Macaca fascicularis: one gene and its partners. The main gene of each other region encodes a partner of the protein of the gene in region 2 in a complex. Links are inferred from orthologs where the notes say so. Each region holds a gene or a part of one and is shown on either strand. Other genes may lie near its edges.

The links. Proteins that work in one complex are often made in the same cells at the same time.
Region 1: POLR1E (region 2) and POLR1F share a complex: the UniProt entries of both Homo sapiens proteins name them as parts of the RNA polymerase I (Pol I) complex. The link is inferred for Macaca fascicularis from reciprocal best matches to the Homo sapiens genes POLR1E and POLR1F.
Region 3: POLR1E (region 2) and POLR1H share a complex: the UniProt entries of both Homo sapiens proteins name them as parts of the RNA polymerase I (Pol I) complex. The link is inferred for Macaca fascicularis from reciprocal best matches to the Homo sapiens genes POLR1E and POLR1H.
Region 4: the proteins of POLR1E (region 2) and POLR1B are in contact, whole or in part, in a cryo-EM structure (PDB 8A43), measured with the Homo sapiens proteins. The link is inferred for Macaca fascicularis from reciprocal best matches to the Homo sapiens genes POLR1E and POLR1B. Residues at the interface, in NP_071935.1 of Homo sapiens: Gln27, Ser29, Asn30, Gly31, Tyr69, Thr76, Leu79, Lys80, Cys81, Leu84, Cys85, Met109, Gln110, Pro111, Leu112, Phe113; in NP_061887.2 of Homo sapiens: Lys254, Ser258, Phe259, Ser260, Tyr262, Gln263, Gln266, Ser295, Thr296, Gln297, Ser338, Thr340, Glu341, Ala532, Cys535, Pro541, Ile542, Asp543, Gly544.

What each region holds. Positions count from the first base shown.
Region 1 is NC_088377.1:110,487,381-110,491,514, reverse strand, and holds the start of POLR1F (DNA-directed RNA polymerase I subunit RPA43), read right to left. Parts: upstream 2,805-4,134; 5' UTR 2,784-2,804; coding exon 2,530-2,783; exon of another isoform or gene 47-2,529; coding exon of another isoform or gene 3-46; intron 1-2. UniProt on the Homo sapiens protein: Component of RNA polymerase I (Pol I), a DNA-dependent RNA polymerase which synthesizes ribosomal RNA precursors using the four ribonucleoside triphosphates as substrates.
Region 2 is NC_088389.1:61,840,626-61,844,890, forward strand, and holds the start of POLR1E (DNA-directed RNA polymerase I subunit RPA49), read right to left. Parts: upstream 2,808-4,265; 5' UTR 2,706-2,807; coding exon 2,630-2,705; intron 2,131-2,629; exon of another isoform or gene 2,060-2,130; coding exon 1,956-2,059; intron 858-1,955; coding exon 781-857; intron 1-780. UniProt on the Homo sapiens protein: Component of RNA polymerase I (Pol I), a DNA-dependent RNA polymerase which synthesizes ribosomal RNA precursors using the four ribonucleoside triphosphates as substrates.
Region 3 is NC_088378.1:142,602,751-142,606,819, reverse strand, and holds the start of POLR1H (DNA-directed RNA polymerase I subunit RPA12), read left to right. Parts: upstream 1-1,265; 5' UTR 1,266-1,292; exon of another isoform or gene 1,293-1,301; intron 1,302-1,417; 5' UTR 1,418-1,427; coding exon 1,428-1,572; intron 1,573-1,818; coding exon 1,819-1,919; intron 1,920-2,126; coding exon 2,127-2,236; intron 2,237-4,069. UniProt on the Homo sapiens protein: Core component of RNA polymerase I (Pol I), a DNA-dependent RNA polymerase which synthesizes ribosomal RNA precursors using the four ribonucleoside triphosphates as substrates. Can mediate Pol I proofreading of the nascent RNA transcript.
Region 4 is NC_088387.1:19,538,189-19,542,197, reverse strand, and holds the start of POLR1B (DNA-directed RNA polymerase I subunit RPA2), read right to left. Parts: upstream 2,805-4,009; 5' UTR 2,788-2,804; coding exon 2,611-2,787; intron 1-2,610. UniProt on the Homo sapiens protein: Catalytic core component of RNA polymerase I (Pol I), a DNA-dependent RNA polymerase which synthesizes ribosomal RNA precursors using the four ribonucleoside triphosphates as substrates.

The DNA.
Region 1 (4,134 bases), on a different chromosome or scaffold from region 2:
ACTCGGGAAAGCAATCTTCTGAGGTTTTCATTTCTGCATGTGGCATTCCTAAGCTGGAATCATCCTATCACTAAGACAATGTTAGGGACACAGAAAACAGAATCAGAGAATAGGAAGAAAAATTAACTGCCATACTAGACAGAAAAACAAATATTAAGACTTTATTTCTCCTAATCAAAGCCGTGTCTGGAAGGAGGTCTGTGGTCCCCTGGTGGGAGGGGGGACATTTGGAAATTTGTGATACTAATCATGGTTATCACAAACTTTGCACAAGCCAGGGCAGAAAAGAGTCTGTCATGTACAGGACAGTCGGTACAATGAGGAAATATCCTTAGCTCTGACTTTTGAATAAAAGGACAAATCTGTTTACAAATAGCTAGGAACCTAATTTAACTCTTAACATCAACACACAGCCATCTTTGCATATTTTTAATCTATATTAAATTGTTCAGGAATTTAGCAATATATAAATTCAAGGGGGATTTTGTTAAGAGTCATCAGATATGTGAACACAGGCACCCAACACTATATACTTTTTCCTTCTTCACTTTTGTTTTTCAGATACCATCCTAAATAGGTATCAGGGCAAGATGGTAGCCTCACTTTAGTTCTTTAATACTGTATGTTCAATGTTTTGTCCCTCATTAGTAATGCATAGTTCAAAGTGTGGTGCCTGATTTTCACCTGGTGCATAATTTCACCAGGGGTCTTCAGCATATCCAAGTAATATGAAAGGAGTGGTGGCCAGATCTGTTCAGAGTCACTCCGCGTGATTTCGTTATTTCCCGCCCTAGCCTGTCAAATGCAGGCAATACAAAACGGTTACAGAAAACAGGATGGTTGCTTGTGTTTCCAGATGTTATGACTACTTTGTATATCCTTTAATCTCTCAAATCCATCCTCTCTAATCATTTTCTCTTGAACAATTATAACATGATCTTAATTCCTCTCCTTGTCCACTTTCTCATCCTATTTGGTAGCTAACCATTAAGTAAGGCTAACAAGTACTGTTTCTTAAACTGCAAATCTGATATGCCAGGAACTGCAGATAAGTACTGCTTTCTCAAAAGTGTACCAAGTCTCAGAGTTAAAGGGTACTGAGAGGATGAAGCACTAACCCTGCCTATGAAAACAGAAACACAAAAGGAAAAACAACAACAACCCCACCTTACCCCCAAAAGAACAAAAACTGGCAATGACAGGAAGGGAAAAGCAAAATGGCCATCCTCTCTGAGTCACCCCTGCCCTCGTCTCCAATGGCATCCAATGCCTTTCCCCTGACATAAACCTTATTCTACTTATATAATAGATACGGTTCTCTGGGCAAAGCATACCGGTTCACATCCAGTATCCGTTTGTTTATGCCACTCTTTGCCTGGAATGCTACCATGGGAAAGTACCGTCTTCACTCAAGTTGTTCTCAGAGGTCCCAAGATCCCAATTCAACACTCCTTATCTTGTTAGATTTCTGTCAAATTTTAACACCTTACTATTTATTGGCTTGTATTTGTATCTCTACTACAGCTTAAAGCTCCTTGAAAGAGGGATTTCATTTTTTGTTTGTTTTTGTATCTCAAGTGTTCGGTATATAATATAAACATACGAGAAGTGTATATTGGTGCTTGGAAGAAGCTGTATATTCTGGAGATGCTTGATTATTAACCTGTGTGTGGAGGTCAAGGATCCCTTAAGAAAGTGATAAAAGCTTCCGATACAGTGCCCAAGGAACTTCACATAAGAATTCCTGAAGGACAGTCATGAATCCCTAAAGAATCCATTCACTCTAGTATTAGAACCTCGCTTTTGAACCAAAGTATAGTCCAGAGGAATACTGAGGCACATGCCCGCGCCCCCCGCCACACACCTCTGTAATTCTGTTTTCAAGGCACTTTTGAATACCGTAATATAAATGCATACCTTTTGTTTTTTTCTCTCCCAAAAGCAACAGGCTCATTAGTTCGATTGAATAAATCGTCTTAAAAACAACTCAGGTCCAAAAGAAGAGAAAATGGGGAAATGACCAGATTGAAATACAGTAAGAAAAAAACGTGCTTCACGTTTTACAGGTAGAACGGTTGTACTAATGCTTCATGTGCAATCTTCGATGGAATGAGAATCTACTTAAGCACTGCAAACCAAATTTTTATCGTCAAATGAGAAAACATCATCCGGAACGGGATAAATGAAACGTTGAATGCCAAACAGAACTGGGCCTACTAGGTCTCCAGACCCTTGGTCTGTTCCTACCCCTACACCAGGATTCTGGAGCGAGAATCTCCACTCCCTCCGCCGACACCTGAACTTCATCTTTAAGTTTTCTTCTCTATCTATGAAAGGGACCCTATAAAGATCTTCACCACAGTGGTACTGGCCTTGAGGGGCGGATCGCGACTCTAGAATTCCACGGGGCTAAGCTCTGGGGGGGCAATGCGACCTTTACTATTTGCCCCCTTTCTGCTGCGTTGTCAGCATATCTACCTGCTGCTACTTCCCGTGCACAAAAGAAGGAACAGGCAAAGAGATCGGTACCTCTCAGAATAGCGAAGGAGCTCCGCATCAAGCTGTTCTCGAATGCCAGTGCGTTTCCTGTTCAGGTAGCGGGGAGACAGCGCGATGTGCCTTTGGTGCGGCCCAGCCACCAGGCATGAGTAGCGACTGTTCACCAGCGCACAAGCAGCGGCATAAGTCGGCAACTCTAGGCAAGGCAGGACGCCAGCCTGCCCTACCAGAGACCCATCAGAAGCCGCCGTTGGCCGCGGCACCTCTGAACAACCCGCAGCCATGCCGCTTGTCAAGGTTCCCACGGCGCGCGCCGTTGACGCAAGCACAATCGCCTGTCCCCGACGCTCTTTTTACGTCATCCACCAACTACCACGCCCCTAGGAATTTCTCCTCCTTACGCTGTATTACGCCGCTCTGGCCAGCAGGGGGAACCGTATTTTCGCGCTTCGAGGACGCGAGCTTAGAGCCTGGGATATGCATTGAGCATGCAGGAAAGTCAACTGTCTGCTCTTTTAAGGGCAGGCAAATATGTGTTTTCGTACAGAAGCTTATTGGATTAAGTAGGCAGCTTAAAAAGGGGGGTTTTCACTTTGATCATTTCCAGTAGTAAGGTGGTTTGGTAGAATTTTACAAGCTTGGACTGTACAATAAAAAATCAAAATATTTATGGAGTGTATTTTATGCAGGACACGAAATCCTAAGAAGCAGGCCTGATAACTCTAATGCAACATATCTTAAAACGAACCTACTAGTTCTCTCCTGTCCCACTTCTCTCCTCATTATGCACATGCTAAATCAGGGAATTATACCACAGCCAACCTGTCAGCCTCGGATCCTCTTTTGTTTTCCCAAATATTAAATCAGCCTGAAGGCCTGTATTTCCCAAAGTGGAAATATCATTCTGTTTGGACACTATTCTCTTTCCCTACCGACAAAACCGCAGGACTCCCTGCCTGTGGAAGCCTAGCTCAATGGTCAGGAGGACGCCCTGGGGCAGCCAGATCTTCCCGGAAACACATATGATTGTGTTGTGCCCTGTTTAAGCCCTACATAGGCACCCCACTTTCTCTAGGACAACACAAACTCCTGAAAAATGCTTATACAAGGCCATTTTGTGATCTGTGTGGGCACGCAGCCTCTCTCTTCAGCTTCATTTGTCACACTCCCCACCCCAATATTATGCCCCTTGATCCACTTTCAGGTCACTCTTTCTGCAGTCTTACGCTGTTCCTTCTACCGGGAAATATAATATTTTCACAAGGGTAAATTCTCCTCACGTATCAATTTTTAGCTTAGATTTTACATTCTGTCCCTTTGCAAAGAGTTCAACCACCCCACACCTCTTTCTCTATAAGGATTAGGTAGTTACCCATGCATGTTTTTTTAATGTTAATTTTATATTAACTGCCATTTGCTTGCCTGTTCCGTCAATAGATTCCTACACTCACTAAAGTGGGGACCATAATATCTGTATTATTCACTACAGTAGCCCCCCACATCTCATCCCTCCTCCAAAGAAAACCAAGAAAAACGCAAACAATGCACTCTGAATGAATAACCTGATAGCGAGTTAATAAATAATAAGTGATAAAGAGCTTGCAGCCTAAGTGGAAGTGGGATGTAAATGTAAAC
Region 2 (4,265 bases):
CTCGCTGCTGTACTGTAATGGAAAACTCTTTTGGGGTGTAGGAATCTAGAATTACACTAGAATTTATGGCACAACAGTTTTATGGAGGCAAAATCAAGTAAACGGGAAGGAGACCAGTTGGAACTAGGGCATCGTTGAGAGGGGAGAGTGCAGGGTTAGTAGTTCTCAGCACCTATACAGCAATCTGACCTCTATTGGAGTATGGTCCAGTAAGGCTCAGAAAGGGCCTGGTTTGTAGTTCATTGTTGGGTACCATCACAGGGCCCTGTCTGCATCATGCCAGCCCCCGAGAGTGATATAGTTGAGGTTGGACAATCTTCATTGTACAGACTAGGGGTCAGTGATGGGCAGAGTTACCCAGCCACTCAGTCAAACAGCAGCACAGAGGGATGGGAATCCCAGGCTTCTCTTTCCCAGCCCAGAGCCTTCAACACTACCAAGTTCTTTACCTGTCGTTAGTTCCCAGGTAAACTTCACGCAAGCTTTGACCTACTAGTCACACATTCCAAATTAATGGAGAGAACTGCCTTTTGGAATAAGACAGCTATAAACAAACAAGGTTACAAATGAGGTTTTCAGGAAATTCAAGTTATCTTTCCTTTCCAGCAATGTCTACAGGTGAGGGGAAGGGCTCTATGTCTAATAGGAACACAGGAATCACCTAGTAAACCGCTCTAGATGGCTCCTACTGCCCTTAAGACAGACAGGAAACAGCAGTGCCAGTGCTGCCACCACTCCCAACCCCATCACCCTTCCCGCTGTCCCTTCCCCTGCCATTACCTGCACAAAGTGTTGCATTTGAGGGCTCCAGTACCAAAATTGTTTCCCACATAGGAAAGTCTATCTGTTTCAGCTGCCTAAAATGCAGAGAGGAGAAACTCCATTTACAACCAATGTTGAAAGGTATTAAGCATCATCTCTCTTTTCTACATTTGCTGAGGCTTTTGAATCCAGACTCACAATGGATTAGAACTAGTTCATCTCTGGCAGATGATCCAGCTCCACTCTCTCTAAGGGAATATGGGGTGTCCCTGCGGGGGAAGCAAGACAACTTTTGGAAGAGAAGCCTCAGATGGTGCTAGCTTCTAATGGTATGAAAAGCTCTTGGGGGAATTCTATCACAAGACTTGAGAGAGAGGCCCTGGGCTTCTAGCACTTACAGGCATGCAACAAAGTGATTCTGTAAGCAATCTCTCTTTGGCCCAAAGTCCAAGCCCTTTTTCACCTTCTTTGCCCATCTCTCCCATGGCTGTTCTTTGTATACTCTCAGGACCATGGCTGATTGACTCCCCAATCATAAGCAAGCTTTCCTGCTTCTCTGCATTTGTCCTCGCTATCCTTTTCACTTAGAACACCAAACCTTGACTGCCAAACCCTCGTTCCAGCCTTCAAGGCTCAGCTCCAACATGACCTCCCCAAGGAAGGCATTCTGGCAGAGACCTCTCCTCCCACTGAGCTCACTCTGCCCTGTAATCTTCCGCACGTGGCCTCAGAGCTTTGTGTAAAAGTGTCCCTCACAGCCAGTTCTCATCTCTCTAGAGCAGAGGTTCTCAATCCAGGGAAATCCACTCTGGTGCTACTGGCATCCAGTGAGTAGAGACTAGGGATGCTGCCCCCACAGCAAAGAATTATTGGCCCCAAAAGTCAATAGTCCTGAGGTTAAGAAACCCTGTTCTAGAGTATGAACTCCGAGTGGGGCTAGGCCTGATTTGGCTGTTTTCCTAGAAGCTTGCAGCACAGGGATACAGAGGAGGTTCCATAAATGCTTGTTGAAAGAATAAATGAATGAAAGATGGAGCCTGTCCCCACATCCCAAGTTGCTGGGCATCAGAGTTCTTCAAAGGTCCATTTGCTACTACTCTCCTGTTTCTCCCCTCACTCCCTCCCACACCACCCACTCCCAGGCGCCTTCTGAGCCCTGCAGAGTGGAGGCAGCTGGCAACTGCTTCACTTACCAGGATCCGTTGATTCCTCTTCCTGGGGTTGGTGGAATCTTTGTTCTCATACAAGGTAAAGCGCATGTTGCCCGGACTCTGTAGCTTCCCGTTGGAGAACTGGACTGTAAGAGTGCAGCCCAAGAATCAGGTGAGAGCAGAAGGCCACACAATGTACGGTGGGACTAGACTGTCACTGGGAGGGAGTGAGTGTCAGAATGGGGATGGCAAGGAAGCTCGGGTCCTGACCCAAAGGGAACTAGAGGAGATCCGGGGCCAGCTGAGAAGAGGGGTTAGGGAGGTGGGAGAACCCTGGGGAGGGGCTGTAACAAGGGGGAATGTCTCGCGGAAGGAGGCTGACAGCAGACGCCTGGTCCACACCTAAAGTGACAGAAGGAACCCCTGCCCAGTGAAGAGAGGGAAACGGGGGAGGTGGGAGACCTGGTGGGTGAGGGGACAGCAGGGTCCTGGACACAGCCCTGGGGAGCGGGTGAGTGGGATGTCCCAATCCGGCTGGGCGGTAGTGACAGAAAGACGGACAGGGCAGCCCCGACCGAGCCCAGGAGAGTGGTGGAGACTACAGGCGTCCTGGCCCCGCTGGGGAGAAGCCTAACGGAGTGCGAGGGGACAGCTGAGATACCGAGACGGAAGGGGGGAGGGTTAGAGGAGCACTGCTCCAGCTCTGCAGTCTTTACCCAGTACAGCTCTCTGGCTCCCGTCGGGCGCCCCACAATACTGCCACCTCGCACTCGGCAACACCTCCGCCGCCATCTCGCCTGTTTGTCCGCCAAGTACAACAGTTAAGACAGCAGTAGCCACAAACCCGCTTTTAAACACGCGGGAGCCTACGCCGCGCGGCAGGCCGGAAAAGGCGTGGCCCCAGCCGGGCACCGCCCACAGTGCGCGAGCCGCGTGTCCCCGCCCCCCGCGCGGAGAGGCGCGGTCTCCGCCCACAAGGTGCCACATACTCGCGCGACTGGCCGAGGCGCAGCACGTGATTAGCTCAGCGCTCGCCTGCGCTCTGGGTGTTGTAGGTCCAGAGCCTGAGGCATCCTACGGCTTCAGCCTAAGCTTGCTGTGAGCCTTCTTCCGGCTCAGCACAGTCTAGAGAGAGTGTCGTCTCTCTCCTACCGTGACAAACACGTCTTCCCAAGACCTGAAAGACCAAGTTCAAATTTAGAATTCTCTAACAGGAACTCCTTGAGCCCCAACTAAATGTGGCCGCTGGCAAAAAGCCGCCCCTCTCTAGGACCTCCCACCCACCCACGTGGACATCCAGTTCTAGGTACAAGCTTTGTCCACAGTCCGACAAACAGCGCCCCGCAATGCGCTGTGGCGTGCACACATGTGGCCCGATCAACCCTGAGGTGATGGAACAGAAGCCCAACCAACCCCAGGGCCTTTGGCCAGGAGATTCTGGACTGAAATAGAAGAGGGAGTCCGAGCTGATAGACATGTCCCTTTTTCACTGCGGATTCAACCATTCTTCTGCACGGGGAGTTTTCAGAGCACAAAAAAGGCAAAAGCAGGACCTTTAAGCATGGACCCTGGCCGAGGCCCCCTTTGCCCAAAGATGCGTGCTATTGAAGGGCAAGAACTCAGGCTGACTCCCCTCTGTCTTCCAAATCACCTTCTTTCAGGACTCTTTTCCTTCCACACATCCTCACACCCTCCTCCAACACCCAGAATCCTAGGAATAATCTTAAAGCCTGCAACTTGTCACTCTTTTCTAATTACCCAGTCTCAAACTTAAAGAAACACTGCAAGAACTTTTTTTGCCCTGAACCATTTAGAGTAAGCTGTCAACCTGATACCCTTTCACCCCGAAGACTATAGTATTTCCTACAGACAAGGACGTTCCCTAAATAACAACACAGCCATCAGCAAATTGCCAGGCGCAGAGGCAGAGGCAGTTCTATCCCTTGATTCTAGGAATTTGAGACCAGGCTGGGCAACATAACAAGACCCTGTCTCTACAAAAAAATAATCATTAGTCACGTGTGGTGGCACACGCCTGTCGTCCCAGCTACTCAGGAGGCTGAGGTGGGAGGATTGCTTGAGCCTAGGAGGCAAAGGCTGCAGTGAGCTGTGATGGTGCCATTGCACTGTAGCCTGGGCGACCAAAAAAAAAAAAAAAAAAAAATTAAACAGAAAACAATCAGGAAATTAACACTGGTACATTACTACCATGTAATCCTCACATCCCATTTAAGTTTACCATTGTCCCAGCGTTTGTTGTTTGTTTGTTTTTTGAGATAGGGTCTCAGTCTGTCACCCAGGCTGGAGTGCAGTGTTGCAAACAGGGCTCACTGCAGCCTTGACCTTCCGGGC
Region 3 (4,069 bases), on a different chromosome or scaffold from region 2:
ACTCTTCAGCAGTTTGCTGAGTTTTAACCCTTTAACTATGGTGTTCTCTCCATTATCACAGAGAAAGGCAGATGGGAGCCTCTCCCAGCGAAAAGACTACAGCTTGTGTCCTTCACAGGACAAAATAGTGATGGCTCCAGAACTTTCATATGAAGGAACTTAGCACAGCTATCAGAGTGGGTGGTGGTGGGAGGACTAGCATGAAACTAGTAAACAACGACAAGCTGCCCCTTCAGGGAAAGTTTCTACTTCGAATATAAGTTACAGAGTAACGAAAATAGCAAGATTTCCGAAAGAAACTTATTCCCATGTTTTATAAAAGATCAGGGAAATGTCAGCTGTCCACTTAATGGATGACGAATAATGAATTAAGAGTTCGATAAGCGGCAGGCACAACTAAAAGCCAAACTCGACCTAAGTCTTATGAAATCCTACTTAATGAGCTTCTTGACTACTGCTAGCCTCACTTATCTGGCAGGAGTCGAAGGAGGGGAAGCCCCAAGCTCTTCTGTTCTACCACCTCCAAAGTCCTGAGCCCCTTCTCAAGTGTCCCACTTCATCCCTGCTTCCTTTCGTCCCGTGGGACTAAGGATTCCTCTGGCCTTCACCCTCACCACTTGCTGTCCCTCAAGAAGCCGACTCACCCCTTTCCAAGCGCGGTGAACCGTCCGCAAAGCACAGGCCGGCTGCGCTCTGCAGAAAGCCCACGCTCGCCAGCGGGACCCAAGGAACGCTAGAACTATACATGCCAGAACACTTAGCTTTGTTTTTAACTACTGTGCAGCCGCAAAAGGGAAATACCAGCTCAGGACCCAGGGGAGTTGTAGTTCTCTAATCCAAAGAAGTCATTATTCAGCAAAGTACGGTTTTCAGGAGGATATTCCCCCGCGATTGGGTTCCCGTAGGATGTGAAACAGAGAATAAATATCCCAGGATTCGGTGCTGGTGGGAAAATTTGCTGGAAGCGCAGCATTGGTTACCAATTTTGTGCTCAACGTCTCAGTACCAGCCTGAAAGTTGAGCCCCAACCTCCCTTAGAAGAGGTGACTCTCCATCTCTAAGGCTTCCGAGACACGGTTCGCAATTAATTATGACGTCACAGCCAATCGTCAGCGTGAAAGCGTGACGCTCTAGCCGGCTCTAGCTCGCTGCCCCGCCGCGGGCGCAGAGCTGGCGCTCTAGCCCACGGAGTTGGCCAGCTCCTCTCGCCGGCCCCAGGAAAGGGTTCCAAGTCCTTTTAGTACCCGACGCTGTCTGGGAGTTCCGGGCGTTTCGGCTCCTTGGTCGCAGAGGCAGGAGGCGTGCGTGGGAGGAGGACTCGGGTTATATACTCCTACGTCCTGGGACGGAATAGTTACCAACTCTGGGGCAGGAACTCTTCTCTCTTTTGTTAATAAACTTCTAACTCCCTCCTCAGACCCGACTGCATGTCTGTCATGGACCTCGCCGGTACTTGCTCCAGCTTTCAGTCGGACTTGGATTTCTGTTCAGATTGCGGCTCGGTCCTGCCTCTGCCCGGGGCTCAGGATACGGTCACCTGTACTCGCTGTGGCTTCAACATCAACGTTCGGGGTGAGAGGCTTGTACACAGGGGTCCTGGCGGAGGGCCCAGGATCGGAAGCTTGGGGAACTCAAGATAGGTTGGGTTCAGAAGGGGATCCTAGAGCAGGACATCAGGCAGTTGTACATTTGGTCCAGCGATGAAAACTGAGGGAAAGGATATAGGGCCTCCTGGCCTAACCAGCCAGGGGAGAGGGGAAGTTTCCGGTGTCAGCTCCCTCAGGTTGTCTCCATAACCAGTCTTACTTGCCTGTGCAGACTTTGAGGGGAAGGTTGTGAAGACTTCAGTTGTGTTCCACCAACTGGGGACAGCCATGCCTATGTCGGTGGAGGAAGGGCCTGAGTGCCAGGGACCTGTGGTAAGTTAATGAGATCAAGAACTGGCTCCATAAGGTGGGTAGGAAAGAAATGGAGGAGTGATTGCAGAGATCTGGAGAGTTTTGTGCCCAATTCCAAGTGGGAAAAGATGTAAAGCATCGATGTTTGAGAGGCGTGATCGCCTGGTTCCTGTGGGAAGTAAGGGTATGATATGACCAGGCCTCCATAACCCACCAGTTTCTTCCCAGGTTGACAGGCGCTGCCCTCGATGTGGTCATGAAGGAATGGCATACCACACCAGACAGATGCGTTCAGCCGATGAAGGGCAAACTGTCTTCTACACCTGTACCAACTGCAAGTGGGTATCCTTTCCCCTCCCTTTGCTCAGTCTGTTTGCTAACTAATAAACAAATCCAGTGATTTATTTTTTTGTACTAAACGGCTGTGTCCTTTCGTCCCATCCCTTATTTCTGTGCAGTTCTGGTAAGAGGGAGATTTGTAGTTTTTATTTTTTTAAATTACACTTTTTTAACCCTTTTTGTAACCAGTGAAATAAACCTTTTAGGTTTTTGTTTTGTTTTTTTTTTTTTTTTTTAAATGGACAGGGTGTTGCTCTGTCACCTAGCCTGGAGTGCAGTGAGGCAATCTTGGCTCACTGCAACCTCCGCCTCCTGGGCTCAGGTAATCCTCCCACCTCAGCCTCCAAAATAGCTTTGGGACCACAGGCACGTGCCACCACACCTGGCTTTTTGTTTTGTTTTGTTTTTTGTATTTTTAGTAGAGATAGGGTTTCTCTCTGTTTCCCAGGCTGGTCTTGAACTCCTGAGCTCAATCAACCCACCTCAGCATCCCAAAGTGCTGGGGATTACAGGCATGAGCCACCCTGCCTGACCTTCTTTTAGGATATTTAAAAGGAAATGAAGAAAAAAAACCATAAGAAGCAAGTATTGTTTAGTGGTCAGCGTCTTATACTGCAGTCTTCAACCGCAGTCAAGGTAGCTTTACTTTGGAGAGAATTAGTCACACATGATTTAGAGAACATGGGCTTTCTGAATGCTTTTAAGACCTCATCTTTGTCTTTGGTGTTCTGCAGTCACTATAGTATATCAAAATGTGATTTTCTTTTATTCTGTTTGGGATTTGTTGGACTTTCTGAAACTGAGAGTGCATTGTTGTTTTTTGTTTTGTTTTGTTTTTTTGAGACGGAGTCTCGCTCTGTCTCCCAGGCTGGAGTCCAGTGGTGTGTTCTCGGCTCACTGCAAGCTCCGCCTCCCGGGTTCACGCCATTCTCCTGCCTCAGCCTCCTGAATAGCTGGGACTACAGGTGCCCCCCACCACGCCCGGCTAATTTTTTGTGTTTTTTAGTAGAGACGAGATTTCACTGTGTTAGCCAGGATGATCTCGATCTCCTGACCTCGTGATCCACCCGCCTCGGCCTCCCCAAGTGCTGGGATTACAGGCGTGAGCCACTACGCCCAGCCTAGAGTGGATTTTTTTTTCATCAACCTTGGAAAATTATCAGCCATCATCTCTTTTAATATTCTCTTTCCCCCATGTTCTCAGTCCTCACATTCTGGACCTCTAATTAGTTACTAGAATGAGATTTCTCTCTTCTGTCCTCCATTTCTCTCGCCCTCTTTTCATATTTTCAATCGCTTTTCTCTTTATGCCACCTTCTGAGTAATTTCTTCAGGTTCCTCTTCCATGTCACTAGTTCTGTCTTCAGTTTATTTCAAATATTATTATTTTTTACTATTGTTATTATTTTGAGTTCTATTTAATTACTTTTCAAATCTCAATTTTTAAATAATTCTCAGTTCCTTAATCATATTTTAAATTGTTCCTTTTACTAGTCTTTAAATATATAAAATATTAAATATAGTTATTATATTCTATGTCTCATAATTCTGATATCCATGGATTTTGTGTGTCTGATGCTGCTGTCTGTTTCTGCTGTCTCTCTCATAGTGCTTTTTTCTTTGTTTTGTAATTTTTGACAATAAATTTGAGTTTTTTAGAACTTGAACTGTAGGAATTCTTTGAGGCCTTGGGTAAGTGCTGTATTCTCAGCATTTGTGTTTCTTTTCTAGGTGCCTTGAAGCACTATCAAGCTGGAATTACTTTAAATAAATTCTTGGCTTCATGTTTTTTGGAGCACACAGATAGTATGAATTTGAGCTGCAAATCCATG
Region 4 (4,009 bases), on a different chromosome or scaffold from region 2:
GTCCCTAACTCATGCCTGAACAAAGCCTATGTTAAATGCATGTGTTAACATTTTCCCCAAAAGGTACAGCACAGCCTTCTTGTGCTTAGGAACTTTATACAGAACTTTAATACTTTGCTTGGGGGACATTTTAAACAGCAAAATCACCAACAAAAAGCACAAAACATGGCACTAAATAGATAGTGAAGACCACCTCTGTTTATAGTTTAAGAACTGAAAACAAGAAGGCCGAGCATCACCTTGTTAGATCTCAGCTGGGAAAACGGACACTGATCAACTCAACTTTTTCGCTGCTTCTGGGCATGGTGCTTTTGGAGTAGGAGTAAATTTTAGTGAGTAGGTGAATTTGCAAATATAGAATCCCCAAGTAATAAAAATCAATTGCATTTTGAAAAGATTTTGAAAAGACAGACACATAAATTCTGACTCACAGAAAGGAGAAATTCACTTCAAAGAAACTAGGCAAAATTATGTTTTGTAAGTAAAAAAAATGACAACTATTTTTTCCCTTGGCTTTATAAATATGAGCCATTTATGTTACTGTGTTTTACAAAACATTTTCAGATACTATATTATTACAGTACTGGCTAAGTTGTGGCATCATTTTCTATGCAGGGCCAAATTTTCTTCATCTACTTCAACCAAAACAATATATCACAAGGGACTGAATGCAGAAGCAGACATGAGAATCCAGTTGTCTTTTCATTGAGCCAGACATTAAAAATATTTTTAATAATGCAATTCATCTAATTTCTTTTTTGCTTTGGAAAATATTTTTCATAAAAATGTTAACATAGAATTGGTTTTTTTTTTAATTTATTTATTTTTGATACAGAGTCTCACTCTGTCGCCCAGGCTGGAGTGCAGTGGTGAAATCTTGGCTCACTGCAACCTCCGCCTCCCGGGTTCAAGCAATTCTCGTGCCTCAGCCCCCCGAGTAGCTGGGAGTACAGACATGTGCCAGCACGCCCGGCTAATTTTTGTATTTTTTAGTAGAGATGGGGTTTCACCAGGTTGGCCAGGCTGGTCCGGATCTCCTGACCTCAAGTGATCCATCCGCCTTCACCTCCCAAAGTGCTGGGATTACAGGCAAGAGCCACCACACCCAGCCGATTGGCTTATTTTTAAATGAATTAGTGCTTTTCTAAAATTTCTCAATTTGATTTTTTTTTTTTTTTTTTTTTTAAAAGACAGGTCTCACTCTGTTACCAAGGCTGGAGTGCAGTGGCACAATCATAGCTCAGTCAAGCCTCAAATTCCTGGGCTCAAGTCATCCTCCCACCTCAGCCTCCCAAGTAGCTGGGACCACAGGTGCAGACCACCATGTCCCGCTAATTTTTTTAATATTTGTAGAGGTGGGGTTTCACTATGTTACCCAAGCTGGTCTTGAAATCCTGGGCTCAAGTCATCCTTCTGCCTTGGCCTCTCAAAGTCCTGGGATTACAGGTGTGAGCCACTGCACCCGGCCCAATTAACTTTTAATTAGGTATTTTTTCTCACAGACATGATACTGTAAGAATCCAGGCACAATACAAATAACCCCCACCAAGTCTTTCTAAACAATAAATCTTAATGGCTCCCATATTATTTGCCGAACAGAGTTCAAGAATCAGACTGGCAATCAAAGCTCTCCACATTATCTCTATTCCTATCTCTCACAACACAAATTTTACCCAACAAAACCACAGGTAGCGTCCCCTAAGCATGTGACTCTGCTCTACCCTTCCCCTGGATGAAATGTACGTTTCTCACCTCTTGAACTCATCTAATCCTGCCCTTTCTCAAACTCCTGGATTAGTTGCGCCGCCCATCTGCTCCCACCGTAGCCCACACAATCCCTTGGCAGAGCAGTTCTCAAGAATATTGGCATGGACTGCTTTCATATCTTCACCCCTCCAACCCCCAAACACGACAGGGAGCACTGAAACGCATGAACTGTCTCTTACACGGGACTGCCTCCTCCACATCCTCTGAGCCTAGTGCCTGGAGACACTGGAGATGCTTACTAAACGAAACTTTCCCCCACCATCCTCACCTGAATTCTGCTACCACTACTCTACGCTAATAATGCAATTACACTTTTCGATTCAATCTTGCTTTTATGACTCATTTATACCTTCCTCAGCACCTGCTTAATTCATAACAAATGACGAGTAGTTTCTCTCTTTAAAGCTCTAAGAGAAGGATACTGAAGGATAACCTTGTACATTACACTGTACCTACAAATAAGTTCGGAATCTTTTGAGGTACGTTTTGGAGAGGTAAGTCTTCTAGTGATATAAAGCCGTGTGCATTGTGAGTGGTTGGGAAGCACACCCCAGATAAGCCACTTCCTCACTCTCACAGCACCCAGAAACTGTCCAACAAGAAACTACGGTTCGCAATCACTTTTCAATCCAGAAATCACGAATACATCTCTTAAGACGCTTTGACTACAAGTTCCACGAGGCCCAATTCCGCGTCCTGTTTAACATGTTGTGCTCTCCCGCTTACCCACTGAGCCTGTCAGGATCAAGGAGCACATGCATTTAGGGTCATATTGTGACCTCCCAGCCATCTCCCTGCGATTGGCCTCGCCGCGGCAAGGGCGCCAGCGGACGCCGCGCTCACCTGCACCGCGAGGCCGAGACCCTCGTGCACGGCGTAGTTGAAGGACTCCACATGCGCCCGCGTCAGCTCCTGCAACGCTGCCTTTTGCTGTTCCCGCGGGATTCCATAAGAGGGGTCGGTCAGGTGCTTTAGGGTAGGCCCGCTGGGCAGGTTCCGCCACCGGCTGCCGGGATCCATGCGGCCACCTGCACACCGAATGCCAGTGGCTCTGTACACGCCGGAAGTAGTGGCCGGAGTCCCGCTTCCGCAGCCTGCTGGGAAATGTAGTTCCCTCTCGTTCCGCCCGCCCTAGGCCCTACGGTTTCGGTTTCATGGAGTCGACGTAGAACCAAAAACTTCGAGTGAACGGGCCGATTAAGGCCGTGACCAGCTAGAGCGTGGCGGTCCCTCCCTTTCTCCCATCTTCCGCCCCACCCATCTCCCTCCTCTGCGACAGATGCCGCAGGTGGAAACCCGCTCCTCTCCCAGTGGAGCGTGTGATCTCTTTGGCTCTCATTGGCTCAGTCAATTAGGATTGGAGGAGAGCGGTCTTCTCAGGTTCTCTTCTATTTCCCTTAACCCGTTCCCAGTCCCACGCCGACGCCGACACTGGGGAGTCATCCGGCCAAAGTCGTTGCTTCAACGAAAAAGCGGATGCCGGGCCCCTGGCTGACTCTACCCAACTCCTAACTCGCGAGGCTCATCCCTGGGAAGCCAAGGAGTGGTCGGGCCCCGCTAACCTCCTCGCATCTTCTGGACTGGAGTCCTTGGGGAGGCCTGGGGAGGGAGGTGGGATCGGGCGGTCTCGGATGGAGGGGAGAGGGCAGCTGGGCGTCCCACTGGATTTACAGCGTGAAGATCCTTTGCGTCCCTGTGAGCCCCTTACCTCCCCAGTACACTGATTAATCAGGGAATGCCTGCTGGCCTTTCAACTTCATTGTGTGTTTAACAGCTATATTGCGTTATAACTGGCATACAATAAACCAAACATTTAAAGTGTACGTGTTAAGTTTTGACCTATGTATACAACCATGCAGCCATCACCACAAAACAGTTAAACCACCACTACCCAGTATCCTCCTGTCCCTGAGAGTCCCTCCTTACTGTCAACTTCCCCTTTTCCTAGTTCACCTGGTACTTTTCCTTCCTATATCACTTTTTATAAAAAATTTGAGCCGGGAGTCTGTGTTGCACAGGCTGGTCTTGAACTTCCGACCTCAAGCTATCTTCTCGCCTTGCCTCTCTCAATGCTGGGATTACAGGCATGAGCCACCGCGCACGCCCGGCCAGCTGAGTAGTTGTAGTTCTTTATATAGCCTATACTAGTCCTTGTCAGATACATGATTTGCAAATATTTTCTCCCATTCTGTGGGTTTTTACTTTCTTGCTGGTGTCCTCTGAAGCAAACTGTTTTAGTTTT